Alligator mississippiensis: one gene and its partners. The protein of the gene in region 1 binds, or shares a complex with, the protein of each later gene. Links are inferred from orthologs where the notes say so. Each region holds a gene or a part of one and is shown on either strand. Other genes may lie near its edges.

Region 1 (7,276 bases):
GCACTGACATGCGTTTCGCCACTTATACAACTGCACGTGTTGCAGCAGCAGGTGCTTTTCAAAGCGGCTGGCACTGTGGTGTGCGCATGTGTAAAAATGCCTCTAGTTGTTATTATGAGCAAGTCTAACTGAAAGATAACATTGGTGATTATTTCATGACATACATGAAACTGATGGAGCAATTTCAAGATAGCCTTTAAAAAAAAAAGTAATATTTTTGTATTATCTTTCAGTACCGAATAATGCACTGAAGATTGTGCATAAGCAGCAAGTAGGGTGGGTGAACCCCAGCTGTTACCTTCAACAGCATTCTGCACAGGTGCAAGGAAGGGGCTATGCTGGAACTTTTTCAGCACAGCTAGAACCTAAAGAAAAAAGAGCTTCCAACTACTTTACAAAACTCATCTGCTCTATTACTTGTCCTCATTACTATAGCCCTTCTGTATGTATATTTATCTTTTAAGGTGACATAATTTTTCTTCCAGCTTAGTGTGCCAAACTAGGTTGTTTTTGCCTACCTTTGAAGCATCTGGTTTGGGTTACTGCAAAGACAAGTCACCAGACAAAAATGTCTAGTGACCTGACCCAGTCTGGCTGTCCTATTGAGGACAGCGCCTTAAGTCTTATGAGGAGAGGACAGCAAAGGCTAAGATTCTCTCGAACACATTTATTATAAGTTATTAAGCCAGTATAAAATTAATTGTGGACTGATAGCTTATATTATCTACAAACCACAACTTGTTTTGCAACTTTTTTTTTTTTTTTTTTTTAAGTGGTACATTTTAAAGCATAAAACTTTTCAGTTAAAACCATTTAAAAAGGTATTGATGGATGCAAGGAATCTTAAACTGGCATAACTGAATGGACTCCATTTAAAAATTAAATAACATTTGGAGAGAAAAATTGATCAGGGCCCGCCCACAATTTTGGGGGGCCCCCTGATCCATTGAAAAAAAATCAGAATTGCAGATAACTCTAGTATAAACTCACTGAAATAACATGGGCTGAGCTGTAGGGGTGGGGGCAGCACATGCTGGGGATGCCTGGGTTCCCTCCCTGGGACCAGGAACTCCCCCCACTTGGCCAAGAAGGGGCTCCCTGCCCGAATCGAGCCCTTTAAACATGGTGCAGGGAGTGGGGGGGCGAGCAGCAGGTCCTGTAGTATTTGGATAGTAGTAATTAAAAATAAGGCAACAGCAACTTCCTTCACTACATGTATTAGTATTTTCTGTAACTTTAACGACCTGTATAAAAAAAAATCAAAATCAAAAGTAAAAAATCTGTACTTGTAATAGGCAGGGATGTGAAAAACGGTAGTGTGCTTTTCATTCCTAGTTGAAAACAGGAGCCTAATATTGCTAAGTAAGCAAGCAGGCAGTTTTAAATTTTGGCTCATTGAGATGCCAACCATCCTTGCTTCAATACGCAAATCCATTAGTAATGAATATGAGCTAAATACACAAGAGCAGGAGAGGAGGGGCAGAAGTCCTAGGCACACAGGTCCAGGTAATATGCCCTGTCTGCTAGTGCTCCCAGACTTTAAAAACAGGCTGTGGCACTGGTGCACCAGCTGCCACATCCACAGGGGCTTGGGCCAAACCTTGTTTAAACCAAGACAGTGTTTCTCAACCAGGAGGTTGGTACCCTGAGGATGTGAGATCCTTTAAAGGGTGCCTGAGGTGCAAGAGGAGTGCAGGTTCAGGCTCCTCCCTGCAAGGAAGTAAGCAAGGCCCGGCAGTCGTTGCTGGGGGGTGCCAGTCCAGTCACACAGGTGATGAGGTGCCTCAGGTTAGCCTCCCCCCATTGCCTGTGTGACTGCACTGGCATCCCCCAGGTTAGCACACCCCCCCCCATCTGAAACAGTTAAGAATCACTAGAGAGAGGCTGGGGGAGCAGCCTCTGCCAGCCTGTCCCAGCACTGCCCCAGGGAGGACGTCCTCCAGAGACAGCACTGAGAGTGGCCCCGTTCCCCCAGGCCTGGCAGGGCCTTCTTCCCACTTGCCCACTGGCAGCCAGTCTAGCACCACGTGCCTTCTGACTTGAGCGTCTTTGGGTAAAGGTGACAGTTTTTTCCAACTATTTAGTTAGTCTATCACAAAATGTTTTTGGGGGCACCAACACACTTCTTCAGGTGCAGGGAGAGTGTTTTGCCTTCTCTAGGCACCAATATATAAAGCATGTGCCTGAAGAAGGGCGTTAGTTGGAAAAAGTGTTTTTCCAGGCACCAGTGTTCTTCAGGCATGGGGAGAGCGCTCTACCTGCTCCTGGAGGGAGCGGGAGCCGACATACAAAGCGTGCGAGGGCACTGGTGCCTTGAAAAACATTTTTTCCAACTAACGCCCTTCTTCAGGCACAGGCTTTGTATGTCGGCTCCTGCTCCATCCAGGAGCAGGCAGAGCGCTCTCTCCCTGCCCCTGAAAAAGGGTGCTGGTGCCCCGAAAAGCAGTTCCCCCAACTATTTGGTGCAAGACACCCCCTCTCCCCACAGAGCCTGGCCGGCCTGCGGGCAAAGCGGAGGCCGGGCGGCTCGGGGGGCCGTAGGCCGCCGCGGGAGCAGGGGCTGCGGCTAGCGCCGCTCCACCACGCGGGGCTGGGGAGCGCGGCCCGGAGAGGGGAAGGGAAGGCGGCAGCTCCTCCCAGCTCGGTCCCGCCGCTTCCCGCGCTCCTCAGCCCGGCAGCTCCCGACCCCGCTCGCAGCCCGCCTCCCGGCCCCGATGCGCCGGCGCCGGCGCGCACAAAGCTGGCAACATGGCTCCCGCCACTCGCACAACTTCCTCGCAACTTGCCCCCGAGCCGGGCCGCCCGGTTCCACCCTGCCCCACTGCTCGCCGGGTGCGGGCGGCCTCACCTTCCGACAGGTCCTCGATACACTCGAAGGTGATCTCGAACTGAAAGGGGTTGTAGAAGGGCGAGGGGTTGTCCAGCACCACCACGTTGTTCACCTGCACCTTGGCCATGGTCTGCACAATGGGCTGCGCCCGGCCTCGGGCCCCCGCGCGCTCCCCCCGCCCGCAACTTTCTTGTCGTCTCTTTCTTTCCTTCTTTTCTTTTCTTTTCTTTCCTCTCCGCTCCCCCGCCCCCTGTCCGCCGGCCCGCCTGCCTTCCCCGCGCCCGCAGCGCGCCGCCGCCTCGCTAGTCCGTTCCGCGCCGCCCCATTCTCCTCGCTTAAGGGACAGCGCCGGCGCCGATTGGCCCGCGGGCCCGAGCCCCGCCCCCCGCGCCCCGCCCCGCCCGCTCCGCACGGTCAAGACAGGCTGCGCGGCAGCGCGCGGCGCCGCGACTGGCCGCGTCTCCCTCTGCCGGAGCCCCGCGGAACAGGCGCGCAGGGAGGAGCCGGCCCCACAGCGTGGCTGACGCCGCTGTCGGGTCTCTTCGCGGCTTGGCTTGTCCGGCGGCTTCGTTTCCAGCTCTGTCCCTTTTCCAAAGGCAGGGTTGTTTTCCTTTCTTCTTCTTCTTGTCTGTGTATAGAAGATGGAGAGAGAGAGACATTGAAGGGGGGAAAAAGAATGGGGAAAGAGTTGGAAGGGGGAAGAAATGGGGAGAGATGGAGAGGGGGAGGGAGAGGTGGGGAGAAAGAGAGTAGATACAAATATGCATTTTATATCATTTCTATGCATGTATACGGGCAGCCCCCACTTAGCACCCTATATGGTTCCTGAAAAACCCAGCATTAAGTGAAACCAAAAGTATTTGACAACCCAAGATGGCAACCACAATTGTTTTTAATGACCCAAGATGGTGACCTTGAGCGTTGTAACAAAACTCGCTGAGCGCCAAGTGGAATAGGGTATCAATTTTAAATGAGCGTTATAGAGAAATAGCGCTAAGCCAAAGAGAGTTAAGTGGGGGTTGCCTGTATATAACTATATACATTTAATATACGTATTATATAATTTTTATACCTGTATAATGTGGCTGGATGTTGAAAATAACTTTTTATTTTCACTGAGGGAAACAGACACATAAGCAGCAATTCTTCTCTTGTGATCAAATGTTTGTGCTGACCCTTTAGGTACCATGGAGCATCTCTGGGACCCCCAGAACGTAAGGAGCCAAACCTGCAACCCTTTTGCAAGTGCTGCACTTGCTTGCTCAGATCTTTTGAAGTCAATGGGGCTCTTCCCTTGACTGGTGGCTACCAATCAGAGGAAGGGCTGCAAGTTCATGTTCATATTGGGTCTGAGGGTGTTCTCTCCAAATGGGGATTTCACTAAGAGAGGTACTATTAGGGTTTGGATTTTGAGGGTATGGAGAAATAGCTACTGTGGGTCATGACTCTGCAGGAACTCCCTATTGGCTCAGGGTCAGCCCAAGCAGCTCTTTTTGGGCCTGGAGAAGCCTGTGTTTTAGATGGTTTGACTTACCATTTAGGTAGTCAAAGAGACCTCGGCTTTAGGACGACTGTCGCATAAACAGGTTCTGCCAAAAAAAATCAGTTTCAGTTGTCTGTAGCTCACTACTGTCCTATGTTTACATGAACATATTGCATACATAGTAGGCAATGGTTGATTCTCTGGATCCTGGTGTACATGTAAGAGGTCTTGTCAGATGCCTGATAAATCTGTTTGTGGCTGACAAGCCCAATTGGAGAGCCGTGCAGCTTGTTACAAGTTTCACAGATCCATATGTTTAAATGTGAAAGAAGAAATCAGAATGCTTTGAGGCAAGATCCTAAATTGGAAAGTGATATACAGAGGCTTTGCCCTGTCCTTGGAGGCCCGCACCAAGAGGGCCCTTCCCTCATGAAAATCTCACACCATTGCACATGGAGGATGGAATAGCAACTCAACCAGTGGGTGTCCTTGTCTCCTGCAGGGTCAGGGATCCGGTAGCTAGAGGGGCAGAATATGACACGGGGTGGGGGGATTGCCAGTTGTTTTCCCCAACTCCAGAGGGGAAAAACTGCTGAAGTAAATACAGGTTCAGACTGTTAATTTCCGAGTTGAGCCCTTGAGTACAGTAGACTGTGTAGGCCAACTGTTTGCATTGAAAGGCTGAGCCATGCTGGCAAGGAGGCCAGGGAGGGGTTTGGAGGACTGGAGTTCAGTGAAGAGCACAGGAGCTCTATGCTGAGGTCCTTGGACTTGAGTTGGTCCCCAAGATCATATCAAGATTTCCTCTTGGTTGGTTCCTTCCTAGAAGTCTTTCCAAGGGAGTGGGCAATCTTGATCTCTACTTTACAGGGAAGTTCTTTTGTCGTATACACACAATCAGGGATCACTGCTGAGTGCATCTACGTGTGCGCTTTACTGTGGAGCTGACTAATTAACTCCATAGTAAAACGTCTACATATATACCCTGATTAGGGTACAGTAAATTAATTAACTCCACCGTAGAATAGTACTGTCTAGGACAAGTACTATCTTACAGTGGAGTAGTTACATGCGCCAAAATGCATGTATAGATGGTGACCAGGGCTGTCTGGGGCACAAGGATGCTACAGCACAGGGGCTGCCTGCCAGCTAACCCCCACACTGCAGCTCCCTCACGCCCCAGCCAGCCCTTCCACAACAGGTTGAGCAAGGTCAGAGCAGCTCCAAGCTGGCAGGCTGACCCCCCCTACCCCCCCCAAGCCATGCCAGCCAGGGCTCTTCCACCCCTGGCTCAGCATACTGCATCCCTGGGTGCACATGTAAACACTGCGCCCAGGTGCATTAAACTCTGGTGCATACTGCACTGGAGTTTGCTACATGCTCATGGCACATGTAGATGCACCCACTGCTTTCTATACCTGTCTACCTTGTTTAAACCAGCAGGGTGGTAGACTGCTTAAGTTGCTCCTACATATGAAAATCCAAGAGAATCAGGGAAGATAGGACGATGTGAAAGACATTCTTCATAATGAACCTCCCAATAATATGCAGTGCGTTATTGAGAGATATCCATGCTCAGTGCCTCTTCACTGCTTGTTTGGGGACACAACTTCACTGGCAGAAACTATGTTCCAGCCGTAGGCTGTGACTTCCAGCGTCAGAGCTCTGTTAAAGTATTTGGACCCATTGTCATGTCCTTAAGGTTGTTCGTTGTAGCCATGTTGGCCTAAGGGCATAGGCAGACAAGGTTCTTTGGGTAAATCTGATATCTTCTATTAGACAAACTAAATAGTTGGAAAAATTGTTCCTTGCAAGCTTTCGGGCACAAACACCCTGTTTGTATCCCTGACGCCCCTAAAGAGCTTCAGGTTGATTAGAGTCATGGGGTGTGGATTATTGAGCCATTTGTGAGCCAAACTGTAGTGGAGTAGAGAGAGAATTTGTGGGGAGGGAGAAAAGGCCCAAAAATGAAGAAAAGAGATAAAAGTTGTGAAGAAGATGTGAGGAGTGGAGGAGAGCTGCAGATGTTTGAGAGGGGAAAGCAGTTCTAATTGCTATCGCTGAAATCCAGATATCCTTATATTACATAAATATGTACTATTAACTTTGTCCCAAGGTTGACCCCACTTTTAGATACTGAGTAGTGTATTAAAGAAAAAACTTATTAGCTAGAAAACAATAAACGTTTAGCAGTCTTGATAAAAAAAAAAAAAAATATACATAAGGTGTCATTTCATACTCTTCATGCTGTCAGTTCTGTGAAGGTTAATTAGAGCTGTGTTACATACAGTTTCCATTTCCATATGCCTGCTGGGAATGAGTTTGATTTCCATCCCTCCAGTTTCCATTTGAGTTTAATGTTCAAATGAACCTAATATCTCAAAAAGAAACTCTCTTGCCCCCCTAATCAAAATATAATGTTGACAGAGCTTATCAGTTCCATTTCCTGCTTCCTGAACTCATGAATGAATCTCTCTCAAATGACATTTAAAAACATTTTAATTTTCTAATATTTGTTGTATAGCCTTTTTATGTTCCACTGTGTTTTTAAAAGTTGATGGTGGGTTGCATGTATCCATGGTATAACTTTGCTGACAGTTCAGGTTTGCACCTAAAATCAATTTAACAAATTTAGTTGGATCACCTTTAATCACATTTTGTACCTTTCTTTCTTATCATAAAAACACAAGTACAAAATGTGCCCTGCTTGACAGAATTTGCCCAACAGACCCAGGAACACATGGACTATAATAACTGGATATCATGCCCAGGGGTCTGCAATACCTAAAGTGTTATTGGCAGAGCTGTAGGGTGACGAGTTTGTGCTGTTTGCATTCTCTCTGCCCAGCACTAGCCAATAAGCTTTTATTCAAATTCACTTTGAAGAAGGACTGAAAACTGATTTCTTTTTCAGGTTTGACAGTGACTGCTGTAAAGGACTCTGGTGAATGGAATTTGGAAGC
Region 2 (6,926 bases), on another chromosome or scaffold:
ATTACTGGAGGCAAGGGGCCCTATTAATGAACCTACCGCACTACCACCTTCTGAGACCAACAGCTTGCCCTGAAATTTTCAACAGAAGGGTCACAATTATGCAATTTATTACTGAATGGTTTAGTCAATAGAGGCAACTCTTGATCAGGTACAAAGTTTTATACGAGAACAAACCTAGGATTTCACTATCGAGTTGTGGATCGCAGAATCAGGCAAGCTTACCTCTGAATAAATAGAAGTTTTAATGAATTTAACTGAGCTCACACAATTGCAGGAAGCTGCTCACAAAGTTCTAAACAGACAAGTTCCCAGTGGTCCTAAAAACCCAGTTACATGCTGGATTACACATGGGTTTAAAAGTGTGTCTACCTAAAATACTCAAATTATGTCCCCAAACTTGAGAAAGGAAAAAGATTAATTGGATTCTCATTTCCAGAATAAGCTGTTGTGTTGAACTTTTTATTTTAACTATAAAATGCCAATAAGATGGTAACAGTCCTTTAAAAAAGGAACCTCTTAATTACAAACCTAGGTTTCTTACCATGAAGCCTCTATGTGTAGAAGCAAACATTTCTCACTTTTTCTGTTTCTATGCATCCTGTTACACATACTTTAAGAAATGTAAGTGGACAAAGCTCAGCTATCAATAAGAATCTTTCTGCTATTGAATCCACGCAACTAAAAAAATACGTAATGTGAAAAATGGACCAAACTTTGTGCCTGTTGCTGTGGGTATCTGTACTCACCTTGGCAACACCTACTCCAGTGAACCTGGCCTCTAACAGTTCCTGCCGTCGTGGGTCCAGGCTATGCAACTCTTCCATCATTTCTGCTGCTAAAAGGGAGAGAGAGATGCACTGTAAGTTTATGAAATGCAGGTGTGAGGAAAAGAATGTATGTTCTGATGAAGCTGAAGGGTAATAGCTGTATGACAATTCAGTACAACATAACTTGAAGTAAGATGATTTGCCCCAGATGGTTGTTGTTTTATTTATTTATTTATTTGTTTAACTGGTCATTCTGGAGCTTCATTTTTAACAGCGTCAATAGTTATTTCAAGATCTCTTAATCCGAGTTACAAAATGTTTCTGTATTTTCCTACTGGATGCTTTATTAGAAAGAGGGCTTGGGGCTTTGACATTTCCATCTCTTCTGTACAGTGTAAAAAGCCTTTTCACACCCCAGTTCTCTATATCTGACCACTTCCTGAAGCACTAGATTTCCCCAAACAATGCATTCTTGTGGCAAGAACCTAGAACACACATCCTGAGTTCTTCCAAGCAGGAAAGCGATGGGGAGGAAGGCACTGACGCGCGTTTAAACTTCTCCTTTTAGCCTGCAACATTCCAAACACCCAGGCACTTTTAGCTACATCAGAGGAATTTGCCTACTGGAAGTACCTGGGTACCTCCAGGTGATCACTGACATTGGTGTCATTATACAAAGCATTTAAGAAAACATTCCTCTGTAGCTTGGGCTAATTTCCAAAATGGACACATTCAGTATTAAAGTGAAACGAGGGAGAAATGTCAAAGTTCTTTAGAATTGTGAATCACATCTTCCCAACTGCCCTCGGAGCAAGCCCGTCATTTCCAGAAACGTCTTTTCCAGTTTCATTTCCAGGGCTGCGAACGAGAAAGAGATAAATACACAGGTTTGCTATACGATGAGCATACCCGAGAAGGAAAGTTCCTGAAGGGCAGCAGGTGCCCTCTGGAACAGGCACTGTGCAACTGCTCCTTTTCTGCTTGCTGTCCATTTTGTCCCCACAATCCCTTGTTTCCTCCAAACGCTGCAGACCGAAGTGACAACAAGGTCCTGGGCGAATCCAACTGGGGCCCTTTACGAGAACACGCCCAGCCATGAAAAACACCACAACCCCAAGCTCAATAAGCTGCTAAATTTGATGAATAGAGGGACCTATTTATAAGCACCTGTTTAATAAAGCTTTCAAACGGTACCTTTCCATCAGCAAGCCAGACAGACCCTGGGGGAGGGGGGGCAGAAGCGCCCCCTGCCCCACCCCACATTTTTGATCAAGCCTCCTGCTATAGTGATGCACAGAAATCCTGGGTGATCCCCCAGCAAGAGCGGGGACTAGAGAGGCCGCCCGGGACCACCTGCAAGGCGAGCCAGGGCGGGGGGCATCCCCGGCCCTGCGCTCCCCGGACCCGACCGGCCGAGGGGCTGGGCGAGGCCTGTGCGCTGGAGGCAGCGCCAGCTCGCAGCACCTCGGAGGAGAGGCCGGCGGGCGGGGTCCCGGGCCGGCCTCCCCGGCGAGGTCCGGGGGGCGATCGCCGCCCTGCCCTGCCCTGCCCCGGCCGCCGCCGAGCCCGCAGCCGCAGGCCGCCTCCTCCCACTCACCCGCCGCCGTCGCCGCCTCCACCCGCAGGCCCGGCGGCCGCTCGCCCCCCGCCTCAGCGCCAGGCGGGCCTCGGGCCTGCGCTGACACCGCCGCCCGCGGCCCAGGCCTGCCCCGCTCCCGCTTGCACTCGCGCCCGCCGGCTCCCGGCGCTCACCTGGCGCGGCCGCCCCGGCCCGGATCCGCAGCGGGCCGCAGGAGGGACCCGCCGTGCTGCTCCTGGCTCCTGCTCCTGCGGCGGCGGCGCGGGCGGGCGGGCGGGCGGGGGAGGCCGGGGCGGCTCCGCGGCCTCTCCCGAGCCGGGCACCCGCCGCGGAGGGCGCGCGTGGGGCGGGGGCAGGCCGCGGAGCCCCGGCCTCGCGTGAGCTCCGCGCCCGGCCGAGGGGCGTGCGGGCCGGGGAGGGGGTGGGGGGCGGCCTCGGAGGACAAAGGCCCAAGGGAGGCGGCGGCGGCGGCGCCCGGGCGGGGGGCACGGGGACCCGGGGCGCCCCCGCCCGGCACGGGCAGCCCCGCTGTGGGAGTGGGAGTGAGGGTGAGGGTGGGGGCTGGGCTGGGCTGAGCTGGGTGCAGCTGGGTCCACGGCCCCCCTCCCCCTCGTCCGGCTCGGCTCGGCCCGGCCCGGTAGGGATCGATTGGTGCAAAGACACTAGTGAAAGCGCGTGTACTCTCGCGAGATTTGCACGCCTGGCGGGGGGGAGGTCAGTGCCGGGAGGAGGGGGGAGGGGCGGGGAGGTCAGCGCGGGGCGGGGCTAGTGAGGGTGGAGGGAGGGGCCAGCGATGGGGAGGGGGAGGTCAGCGCGGGGAGGGGCCAAGGCCTGGGGAGGGGGCGGGGCCCCTTGTGGCAAGTGGGGTCAGGGAGGGAGGGGCGGGGGAGGTCACCCTGGGGTGGGGGAGGCCCCGCAGGGGTGAGGGGGCGGGGTCTGGGGGGCGGGCCGGGCGGGCAGCACCAGTGTGCACTGGGGGAAGAGGCTTGGTGCAGGGAGGGGCTAAAATGGGGGGGGGGGTCAGTGCCCATTGAGAAAAAACGGGGAGGGGGCTTCTAGCTCCCCCCAGCTTCTTCCCTCTCCAGTGAACTTAGGGACTGGTGGGAGGGTGCCAAGTGGTGGGGTAAGGCTCAGGGGAGACCAGGATTGCCCTGCTCTCCCACCCCAGGGGGTGCTCCCTGGGGCACTGAGGACAGGAGTTTATGCATCAGGGAGATGAGCCTCAATCCCCCTTCCTTGCTTCCCCCAAGCTTCCTGTGGTTTCAAGAGAAAATTCCTCTCTCTTCCTCACCCCCCCCCCCGGGAATTTCTCCCTCTTCCTGGGCAACAAGGCATCTTGTTTGCAAAAACAGCCTCCTCTCCCCAAGGGAAGATGATGTCCCTCCCAGCCAGGAGCAAGGGGGCCTGAAGGGAAGAGTTCTGCACGCAGAGCATCCCCAACCTCCCAATCACTGTGCCTCTGAGGAGCTGAGAAAAAACGAGACACCAGCAAACAAGTGTACCCCGCACCTCCATTTGGTGTCTTGTAAATCGTGCAGCCTGTCATTCTGACAAGCTTTCCTTATCAAATATGGATAGAACAAGTAACAGAGAGGCTGGGTACACGGAGTGGCTTTGTGTTAACTGTAGTTTGCCCTTGCTCTTTGCAGCTGCTTCTTGCTAGATAGACTCTCACAGAAGGGCTCAGACTGGTTACTGTGGGTAGATTACTTTGCAGTTTGTCCTTATTTCCCTTTCTTCCAAGCCCTGGGGGCACTGTCAGACAGAGTGTAAAGCGCCATTGAAAGGCATTGCAACGCTCTGCTTTAAGGCTGAATCAGCTTTCTGAAAAGCAAACAAACTGGGGGGGGGGGGGGGGGGGGGGGGAGTTGAGGCTTGTTCAGAAAGGAAGTGGCCAGGCCTGTCCAAAGGGAGGCAGGCATGGATTAGGCATTGGAAAGGAAGTTGCTGGGGCTCTGGATAAAGGAGCGGCTTTCTAGAACCGCACTGTAATAGCAGAGAGATTCTATAGTTCGTGCATCTGCAGGTCAAACGAGAGTTACTGAAGTCAAATGTGTTTTACTGCAAATACATCAAAGACATTTTTACAGTCAACCAGGAGTTTACCAGTTTGGCAAGTCCGATGAAGAGTAGGGCTCAGACAATGACATGGTGCATCTGAATGCATGGGAAAAGACAGGCTTGCAGCATTGTAAGGACAGGTGAACTGTTTTGTTTTAAAACAATGGTTAACTTAACAGAGGTACAAGCCATTTTTAACCTGGTCTTGCAAACAAGTTGGAAAGCATCTGCTGTTTCTTACAAACTGCACTTCCTGTACTGTAACCTATTTCTCAGCAGAAGATCCAGGCTGAGGAAGTAACAGCAAACTTTCAGCTCCCTCAGGCAGATGCACCTTAGGACCACAAACAGTGACAGGGCTCTCCAAAAATTATTTTAAAAGCTCTTTTTAAAAAGAACCTTACCTTGTAATATTTCTTAAACCATCTAAATTATTGCAGCAAATGACCATACTCAGTTTAGAGCAGGGTGTCAAGTTGGTGTCAAGCATCTGACCTGCAGAGCTGTACCATCTGGCCTGCTGAGTTACTGGAAGTTGGGAGTATGGCCAGGGTGTTTGGCCTGCCACAGAATTCAGGAACATGGTCATTGGCAGCAGGGGGGCAAGGCTGATACAGCCTTGCTTTGCCCTGCTGCTGACACTTGGCCCCACACAGCACTGCTGGGCCACTGCCATCTCCCCCTGCTGCTGGATCCCTGCCCTCTCACTGCCACTGCTGGACCCCCATCACCACCACCAGACTAACCACAGCCACCACCTGGCCCACCACTGTTGCAGCTGTTTGTCTCACGGAGTCAGCCCAGAGCTCAGAATGAGTTTAACACCCCTGGTTTAGAGGAACATTAGTCAAGTGACATCTGCAATTAACATTGTACAGTTATATTCACATCACACATGCACTTCAATTCAGCATGGAAGAATAGAAAGAGGAAGGACAAGCTTCCGCAACCATTGCAGCCCACCTTTAGCAGCATCCAAGAATCTCCAATTCTTTTGGTTCCCGATGATTCGGTCTTTGGATTAGGCTACAGTTCAGAGACACTAAACTGATGATTGGTGGTTCTGAAGCAATGAGCAAGAGTCAGACCTTCAGTATATTGGATATAGTTGGTATAGCAGCAACTTTCAAACCAGTAGTAGGAGTATACATGATCAATATGGTTCATTTCTTTTGGAGAGATCCTTAGACTGTTTTTCTTCCATTTACTGTTCTTCCTTCAGCTATGAAGTCACATATGTCGTGATTCCTTCCTATTGGTTGTTTAACATAAGAAGCTATGGGTGAAAGAGTAAGATGCACAGGCTGCAATGTCACTGAAGACCTGAAGGCATTCAGTTCCAGATCTTTTTCCCAAGGGGCAGGCAAAGCAAATATCCTGCCCCCCTAGCATTAAGCAAAGTTCAGGACCAGAGTATTTCTGAAAGATATGTTCTAGTCCACTGGTTCCCAAAGCGTGGTTGGTGGATCACATGTGACCTGTGTCCCTTTGATGCAGCTTGCCATCCAGGGGTGCTCCTTTGAAATATCCTTTCAGGGAGTGAAATTTTGGGAAATGACGTGTTCAATGACTTGCATATGAATCCCTGGGTAAGGTCCTGGTGGTAGTTGTTGGCAGGTGGTGGTGAATTCTTATGGCATGCACCTACTTGTGTATCTGTCAGGTCTGGATCAAGCATTGAGGTGGTTGGGAGTGTTTCAGTTAAATGCTCTTTCATTGGAAAATGACAATTTGTTGAAAAAAAGCTTTTGTAAGAAAACTTTTCAATTTTTACTTTTTTTGAAACAAAATACAAAATGAAATTTTCCCTTTTTTTGGTTCAAAACCCCCTTTTTAAACATTTAAGTGAATTACAGTTAAAAAAAATAAAGGCCAAAATCAAAATAAAGTGTTTTGTAATGATCAAAACTAAACATTTCAGTCTTGAATGCCATGGAAGACCCTCCCTCCCTCCGCCCCTGGCTGTATAGATGTTGTAACTTCCAGTTCTATAACTTCAAGAGAAGCTTGTCTGGAAACTTGCAGAGGAGGGAGAGGTACTGGACAGTTTAAGCATTTTCTCTATTATATAAAGACTGGATATTCCAGCAATAGGAACTTTAGAGATGTGTGCCAGAAGTATAGGATCAAATGGAGGCTACCCTTATCCATGGGGGTATGTCAGCCCTTCTACCACCACCTTTTTCCCCTGCAGGGGTATTTCTACAGCATCCTTCTTTCCAGATGATTTCTTCCAAAGATTGCTCCTGCCTCTTTTGGTTTTCTTCAGTAGCAATTGTAGTTCTCCTGCACTGGTCTTTTCTGGGTGCCAGCAAAATCCTTGACACAAGAAATTGTTGAGGCCTGAATTTGAATTCAAGGTGGCAAATATGTGCTAAGTTTTGATGGTTATTTTGATGATGTATGTAAAATGTATTTGATAGCTCTAATGGCAAGTGATCAAAAACCATGTCAGGCTGCAAACCTATTAAAAATGTGTTACTACTTTTTCTGTGCCCCCAGTTTCTGAGCCTTTAAGG
Region 3 (7,040 bases), on another chromosome or scaffold:
AGTGAAACACTCCGGAGGCCTGATTTTCAGATATGGCATCCTTTGTATTCAAATTTTTATGACAATAGTCTCAGCTCTCCCAGAAAACAGCCTGTCCTATTTTTCTAAATAGACCAGCAGTTAATAATGATGCTCTTACTTTGTGAAGCCAGAAGAAGCGCACATGGGTGGGAACTCCTCCAAGTTGTTGAGGTTCAGCTGATCAGGTGGGGAACTGGCAGAGACACCCAACACTTCATTGCGCTTCTTCCTCCCTCCACTCCATGAAGTGTTATCACTCTTCCCATCCTCCTCATCAGCAAGACATCGTCCAAGATCCCGAGCCACCTGCCGGCTAGAGGTACTGGTGGAGCTGTTGCCCTTTCTTCTGCCTCGCCTTGTCGGCTGAACTTCTGGCATGGCCACAAAAAAGTTCCCCAAGTTGGCCTTCTGAGCTGAGCGCCTCTCACTGTGGTTAAATACAGGGCTGCAACCAAAGCTTGGGCTCACACTGGAGACCACACTAGGGAAATCACTGCTGGGGCTAGACAGGTTTGATCCAGTAAATGCAGGAGAGCCACCTGACACAGCAGAAGGGGCAAAGCTGGTATCTGGGGAACAGGAGTTAGCAGAGCCTTTTTGGGTAAAGAGCTGCATTCGGCTGCTGCTTGACCCTGTTGTGTTTCCTGCCCTCCTTTCTGAGCCTCTCCTTTGGCTCCCACGGCCAGCAGAGTTTCCAAGGGCCTTGGAATTCGGTGTTTTTGCAGGGGTGGAAGGCCCATTGGTCAGGATCTGACCGGTTTGCTCCCTTAAAAAATTCAAGAAGAAAGGCACAAAGTCTTTCTGAGGCAAACTAAGAGATACCAGCTTTTCATGGATATGGTTCTCCTGCAAGAAAAGAGGACAAAGCATTAATGAAAGATATCCAAAACTAGGGGTTATCATTTTTTTTCTCTTTCAAATTGCTGGCATAAATTAAAAGTAATTAGGGGTTTTTAATACTTTTAGCTTGAAGAAGTGTGTTTAATAGTCAGAGCAAGCCACCGAGATTGATGAGTTCTTGATTCTCTTCCCAGATCTGACAGCTAGTCCTCAGTCCACTTTGGGCCAGATATGGAGTGGATGCTTTTGTTTATCTGGCTGCCCTATTGCAGATCAGCAGGGCCTATTTTGTTCAAATGTCCCCATTAGCATAAGAGCACTACAGATGATCTGCAGTTTGAAATAAGGCCTTTTTTAGGTGTCTTATGTAAGGCACTAGACACTGATAACCAAAATTAATTCATAATGCATATGGTTGGTAATTTTTCGTGCCCCAGTGCTCTGCTAATACCACTTGCTTCCTCATAGGGGTGCTGTAAGAATGAACATTTGTACACCAATCTGAGATTCTACTCTGTCCGATACATAAATTTACATGATTATATTTCAGTGGAATCATACTAACCACAGAAGTGAAAATACAGATTGCTATAAGGTTTGTGATGCAGAAAGCTTGCAATCAAGAAAACTAAATAAAAATGTAACTTTAACATCTTTTAAACTTTAACTTAAAAGCATAACACCTGTAAATTATCTAAGAATAGTGCCAGGAAAATGTTTGTTATATATCACTAAAACATAACCTAAATTGTTTCATGCAACGACGGACAAAGGTTCTGCTGGTCTTTCAGTAGATAACATTTGTTTTCCTCACAAAAGAAGTAGGCAAAGTTTGTAACAAAAATGCTGGAACTTTGTGGGGCAGCCATTCATATTCTTACTAATGGCAGAGCAACTGTACTCGCACTCTCCCCTTAGATCCTATTCAAAAGGGAAAAGCTTTGTGATCCTTCCCCATGTGAAACAGAAAGCAACATATTCAGAGGAGAGCAGAGGGTCTGTATTTAAGGAAAGCTTTCTTAGGAAAAAAGGTGGAGGAATCACAATCTTCCTTTGCTGGACGTATTTGTTCTGGCAGGGGCACGGATCGTGGGGGTAAGGAAGGACCGTTTGAGAGCAGAAACAAACTTCAGTTGCCAACTACACCAAACTTAAGACTCATCTCAGATTTTTTAAAAAGCCACTTATTCTCTCCACTGTCCTACTGGCAGAAGTGAGCCTGTAACTAAGGTGCCCCACTGTGCCCTACCTTCTGCCTGACTTCAGACTAACATGGCAAACTCACTCTCCCTGCTCTTCTGTTATGTTTCGGAGAAATAATGCACAAGACTGGAAAATCAGGAGACCTGGGCTCTGTTAGCTCAGATGCAAGCTTGCCACGTGGGTTGGAGCAAAACAAGTACCCCTTCCAGCTCCTCAGCTTCCCCCTCAGCTAAATGGGCTTGATACAGGAACAACTGATCAACTTTTAAGGGTCAGGCAGCAGCCTCTTCCAGTCATCAAGACCCATGAAGCTGGGGATACACCTCATCTACATTACATAATAAGGGAGACAGTCTGAGCTGCTACCAAGAGGTACAACCGCCCGTTTGATAGGAGACGTTACTGAAGCACAGCTCACCCGCACCCACACACCCCGCTGGGCGCCAGCGCTGACAACCAAGCCGCCACCATTGACCCCCAAACTGCAGCTGTGAATTGCTGTGGAGCGGCAAGGACTGTAACTCCCCAACTCCCACGAAGCTGGCGCTGGGCCCCACACTCGCAGCAGGCGGCTACAATCCCTGGCCAGGCTTCGTGTGAAGGGAGGCGGGAGGGGGAGACAGACCCGGGCCCGCGGGGCCGCCCCTTCCCTCCCCCCACAAGCCCAGCGGGCCGAGACGGCCTCCCGCCTCACGGGAAGTGTCAACGCAGTGGCGGGGCGGGCGCCGTCTCCCCACAGCCCAGCCTGGCCCTGCCCCGCCGGGGGTGGACTCAGGCTCGCGGCGCGGCCTTGGGCAGCAGGGGGACTCCTGGGCGGGGCCGGGGCCGGCGCCCCCTCCCCGGGACCCGCGGTACCTCGGCCGAGCGGCGCCCGGGGTCGTGCTTGAGCCAGTGCACCAGGGCGCCGGGCGCCACCTCCTCTCGCAGCACTAGCTCCAGCGCGGCCGCCATTCCCGGGGGGGCGGGGCGGGGCAGAGCGGGCGAGCGCGGGGCGCGGGGACACGCGCCAGCGGGAGGGAAGGGGAGTGGCGGGGCGGGACCGCGCGGGAGGACGCCGGGAGGGGGCGGGGCCTGCAGCGCCGGGCGCCAAGTAGCGGGGGCGGGGTCACGGCGCGCGGCCGCAGCCCTGGCCCAGGGGCGGGGCCTGCGCCCCCCCCCATGTCAACACGCGGGGCGCGGGGCGCGTGCGCGGCGCTCGCGCGTCTTTTCCTCTCATGCGCGGTCTTTGCTTCCCGCGCGGGGGCCGGGCCCGGGGCCGGGGCCGGCGGGCGGAGGATGGCAGAGGACTCGCCGAAGCGGCGCAAGGCGAATTTCAACGAGGCGGAGACGGAGGTGCTGATCGAGCAGGTGCTGAAGCACGAGCAGCTGCTGTTCGCGGCCGGGCCAGGCCGAGCGTCGCCGGGCCAGAAGCGGCGCGTGTGGGAGCTGATCCGGCACAAGGTGAACCCCGTGGCCGCCTGCCCGCGCGCCGTCGAGGACCTCAAGAAGCGCTGGCGGGACCTGAAGCGCCGCGACCGCAGCAAGCTGTGCCGCCTCCCGCCGCCCGCGCCGCCGCCGCCCGGCCTCGGGCTCGGCCTCGGCCTTGGCCTCGGCCTGCTGCTCGACCCCGACGACTGCCCGCCGCCTGCGCCGCCCGAGCACCCGCCCGCGCCCCGCGTCTACGCCTCGCTGCTGTCCGGCGCTGCCGCCGAGGCCGTGCCCATCGTGGGCGGCATCGATACGCTGGACCTGCCCGGCGCCTCCGTGCTGGACCTCGGTGAGTCCCCGGCGGGAGGGGGCTGCAGCCGGCCGGCGCTCGGGCCCCTGAGGGACTGTCGGTGCTGCCTCACCCCCCTTCTCCCGGACCAGCAGGCGCCTGCGGGAAGGGCCCGAGCCCGTCTGGGCCAGGCGGTGGGCCGCAGGGTGAGGGCTTACTTCGGGAAGCAGCAGAGGAGATAAGCCCCTAACCCTTGTCACAGCAGAGCTCTCCACCAGCTTCATTTCTGCATGGGGGGTGGTGGGGGGCAGGCAGAGAAGGGATCCCAGCCTGAGACCTGTGCCAAAGTTGGCCTGTGAGCATGTTTAATTCCTCACCCAGCCTGGAGAGAGTCCCTGTGCTAAAAGCAAGGAGTCCTCTTCATCATAGCACCTTGGAAGCACAAGTGTGGGTCCCCTTACAAATAAATGACCCTGGCTCAAGGTTTGGTATAAGGGTTTGCTGGGCTGGTAGAAGCACAATTGATTGTGGAAGCAAGGATATCTAATGACTTCTCTCTCCCTCTCCTCCCCATCTGCCATGTCCTTAGGGTTTGCTGAGGACCCCGGACCATCTCACCAATCCAGTCTTGACAAGATGAACCTAAAAGAAGAAATAGTAGTGAAGGTAGTGGAGCCAGAGGAAAGCTTGGAGGACATGGCTGTGGTTCCACCCAGCCAGGAACAACTATCTTTTCTGGGGTCATCTTCTGGCAGCTCCTCTGGGAAAGGAAAAGCTAAAACAAAAGGCCGATCCCAGACAGACCAAAATGAAATTACTGAAGAGGACCTAATACAGATGCAGCAGACCCAGATGCAGGTGATCCAGTCTGGCTTTGACAATGTTAACCACAATCTTCGGCTGCTGCAGCAAGGCATACAAGATCTCAGCAATAGCCTCAGCATCATGGCGCACACGTTGGTGGCTATAAAAAATGTCTACGTGAAAAACAACACGGGCCCAACCACCTATGCCACTGTCTCCACTCAGACCACAGCTGGGTACCTGAGCCCTGCATCTCCCCAGATATCCCCAGCTGAGGACAGGGGCAGAGCACAGGTGGCTGGAAGCAGCAGCAGAAGCAGCAGCTGCAGTTCCAGCTCTATGTCTCAAGAGCCAGGCCCTTCCGAGTTTCCCAGACCCCCTTTGAGAACCATTAAGAAAGAACATCCCAATGGCTGCTACTATTTCTGTTTTGCAGATGTGTAAAACTTGAATACATGTAATAGTGACTGTGGTGTTAGAGGTGCTGTTTTATGTTCTGCTCCAGCCTGATGGAGCAAACTGGACTTGCCTCCCACTCTTTTTTTTTTTCCCAGTGGGAAAAGTTTTACAGTAGGTGGCATTAAACACTAACTACAAGTCTCCCATTTCTTAACTCTTAAGTGTTGCAGTTGATTACTGTCTGTCTGCTGTTCTCTTCACCATCTTCCACTTTAAAAAAAAAAAAAATCAAAATTATTTTGACCAAGACACTTGTCTGTATCCTCTTTCACTCAATGTGACCTTTTGAAAATAAAAGGCATGATGAAGTAGGGTGAAAGGTAAGAGCAGTTACTGAATAGCAGGAGTGTAATCTGTTATACAAGTTGCTGTGTAGTTGTTTGCTTGTTCTTTAAATCCAACTGCAAAAATAACTGACTTTAAATTTAGTATCTGCTGTTTCTAACTACTGGATGTGTTTCTAATTTCTTAAACCTAGGCTGTGCAAAGCATCACAAGGGGTTTGGCAGCTTTACCTGCTCTGGGGATGGCATAGAATTAGACCACTGATCCCTCATCCTGCTACTTATCATTCATCTAGCATTGCTCCATCTGGTCACTGTTCAGTACAGCTCCTCAAATACACTTTCCCTGCAGAAGCATTTTGCTTTAATGAAATAAAAGTGAAGGCAGTTATTTGTCAGATATCTTGAGGAAAAGTGTATCAAATATAATGAATGAAACTTTTTCACACTATGAAGCAATACTTGCAATTACAGGTTATCATCAATCTCTGTCTTCAGTAAATCCAAGCTGGGACCAAGTGCCGTAACATTTGAGATGACAAAGGGGCAGCCCTAACTGATGTTCTGCGCTATCCAGAACTAAGTGTAGATGTGCTGCAAAGGGTGTTAGGGTTCAGCAGAGCCAAGCCTCTCTCCTGGCTCTTGAAGAAGCCTTCCTTCTTCCTAAGGATTTATCTAAAGATCTTCCATTCTCTTAACTATATCCCCAGGGGGAGTCTAAAGAGAAAGGAACTCCTAAATGCTAACTCGTATCTGTCTGAAATGGTTTAGGAATACCATATCCTGTACCTGTGCATGAGGCTTGGAGGACCCTTGAAGTCAAATAGAAGCAGAGGAGAACTGTGAGTTATTTATCCTGATGGAAAAAGCAAAATTAATGGATGACTTCATTTGGTTGAGTATTAAAATAAGAAAAACCACAGCCATGTAACAGGAAATATTCTAGTTAGTATGGGCCTACTTTAAAAAGTGACTGTAAAAAGAGCAAAGGTACATTGTTTATTTTTGTAATGTCCCAATGGAAAACAAAAATAACTCTGTAATCTCTCTCATCCTGTGGCTGTATGCTATGATTTGAAATATCAGTTAGGCTCTTTTTCTTCTCAGGTATCACCAATACAAGCGAGTTCTGCAGGTCTAATTGTGCCTACAGTGTTACTTTGCATAAGCAAAAAGGAATGGATCCTGTAACTGGAAATTAGCAAACACAGATGATACACAGAGGGACTTGAATCCAACTCTGTTTCTCCTGCCTGATGGAGCACAAGGATCTGTGGAGTAAGAAGGTAGTATTTTTGCAGTCAGTTCTGAATGTTCTGCGGTTTAGGGAAATGGCCTGTTATAACTGCAGGCCAACAAAGTCCTTTTAAGTTAAATGCTGCTAAGGGTGCCAACAATAAGGAGGAGTAATGCAAAGACTCTTCTTTAAGAGAGTTCCAAGCAGCATCCACAAATTAAAGCCTATGAAAAGAATTCAAGGTGAGCATTAGGCAGATCTCGCCTTCTAGCCTGTGCAAGCATCCTGACAGGGTCTGATCGTACTCACAAACACTTTGATTCAAGCAGGGCTGAATCTCCAGTATTACTGAAGAAAAACCACATCACCCAAGACATGAACAAAACAGCTGGAAAAATATAAGTAGCAGGAATATATCACATCCAAATTCTCTGGCTGCCATTTCTTCCACCTACTATTTTACAAAAAGAGGGCAAGGGGAAAGCAATTTGCTATT

Evidence for each region.
Region 2: the proteins of ASF1A (region 1) and TLK2 are in contact, whole or in part, in a crystal structure (PDB 7LO0), measured with the Homo sapiens proteins. The link is inferred for Alligator mississippiensis from reciprocal best matches to the Homo sapiens genes ASF1A and TLK2. Residues at the interface, in NP_054753.1 of Homo sapiens: Val45, Ala48, Glu49, Glu51, Asp54, Asp88, Val92, Thr93, Val94, Leu96, Arg108, Gly110, Tyr111, Tyr112, Arg145, Thr147, Phe149; in NP_001271262.1 of Homo sapiens: Arg11, Arg12, Gln13, Leu15, Leu16, Glu17, Arg19, Phe20, Thr21, Gly22, Val23.
Region 3: the proteins of ASF1A (region 1) and CDAN1 are in contact, whole or in part, in a cryo-EM structure (PDB 9CVC), measured with the Homo sapiens proteins. The link is inferred for Alligator mississippiensis from reciprocal best matches to the Homo sapiens genes ASF1A and CDAN1. Residues at the interface, in NP_054753.1 of Homo sapiens: Gln5, Val6, Asn7, Asn8, Val9, Val10, Val11, Leu12, Asp13, Pro15, Asn20, Pro21, Phe28, Asp37, Val45, Ser47, Ala48, Glu49, Ser50, Glu51, Glu52, Asp54, Asp58, Ser59, Val60, Leu61, Val62, Gly63, Pro64, Val65; in NP_612486.2 of Homo sapiens: Arg195, Arg196, Ile197, Asn198, Thr200, Val202, Lys390, Leu391, His470, Glu471, Glu472, Pro473, Gly474, Trp475, Asp476, Lys538, Arg541, Arg544, Leu545, Gln546, Arg548, Leu549, Met550, Ala551, Pro552, Gln553, Ser554, Ser555, Arg806, Lys807.

Annotation. Positions count from the first base shown.
Region 1 is NC_081824.1:103,478,097-103,485,372, reverse strand, and holds the start of ASF1A (histone chaperone ASF1A), read right to left. Parts: upstream 3,101-7,276; 5' UTR 2,958-3,100; coding exon 2,849-2,957; intron 1-2,848. Other genes in the region: DNA helicase MCM9, read left to right, coding at 7,228-7,276. UniProt on the Homo sapiens protein: Histone chaperone that facilitates histone deposition and histone exchange and removal during nucleosome assembly and disassembly.
Region 2 is NC_081827.1:156,834,441-156,841,366, reverse strand, and holds the start of TLK2 (serine/threonine-protein kinase tousled-like 2), read right to left. Parts: upstream 3,009-6,926; 5' UTR 2,520-3,008; intron 2,152-2,519; exon of another isoform or gene 1,962-2,151; intron 836-1,961; exon of another isoform or gene 833-835; 5' UTR 828-832; coding exon 747-827; intron 1-746. UniProt on the Homo sapiens protein: Serine/threonine-protein kinase involved in the process of chromatin assembly and probably also DNA replication, transcription, repair, and chromosome segregation. Phosphorylates the chromatin assembly factors ASF1A and ASF1B.
Region 3 is NC_081825.1:237,163,179-237,170,218, reverse strand, and holds the start of CDAN1 (codanin-1), read right to left. Parts: upstream 3,073-7,040; 5' UTR 3,016-3,072; coding exon 2,920-3,015; intron 868-2,919; coding exon 140-867; intron 1-139. Other genes in the region: t-SNARE domain-containing protein 1, read left to right, coding at 3,223-3,820, 4,350-5,008. UniProt on the Homo sapiens protein: May act as a negative regulator of ASF1 in chromatin assembly.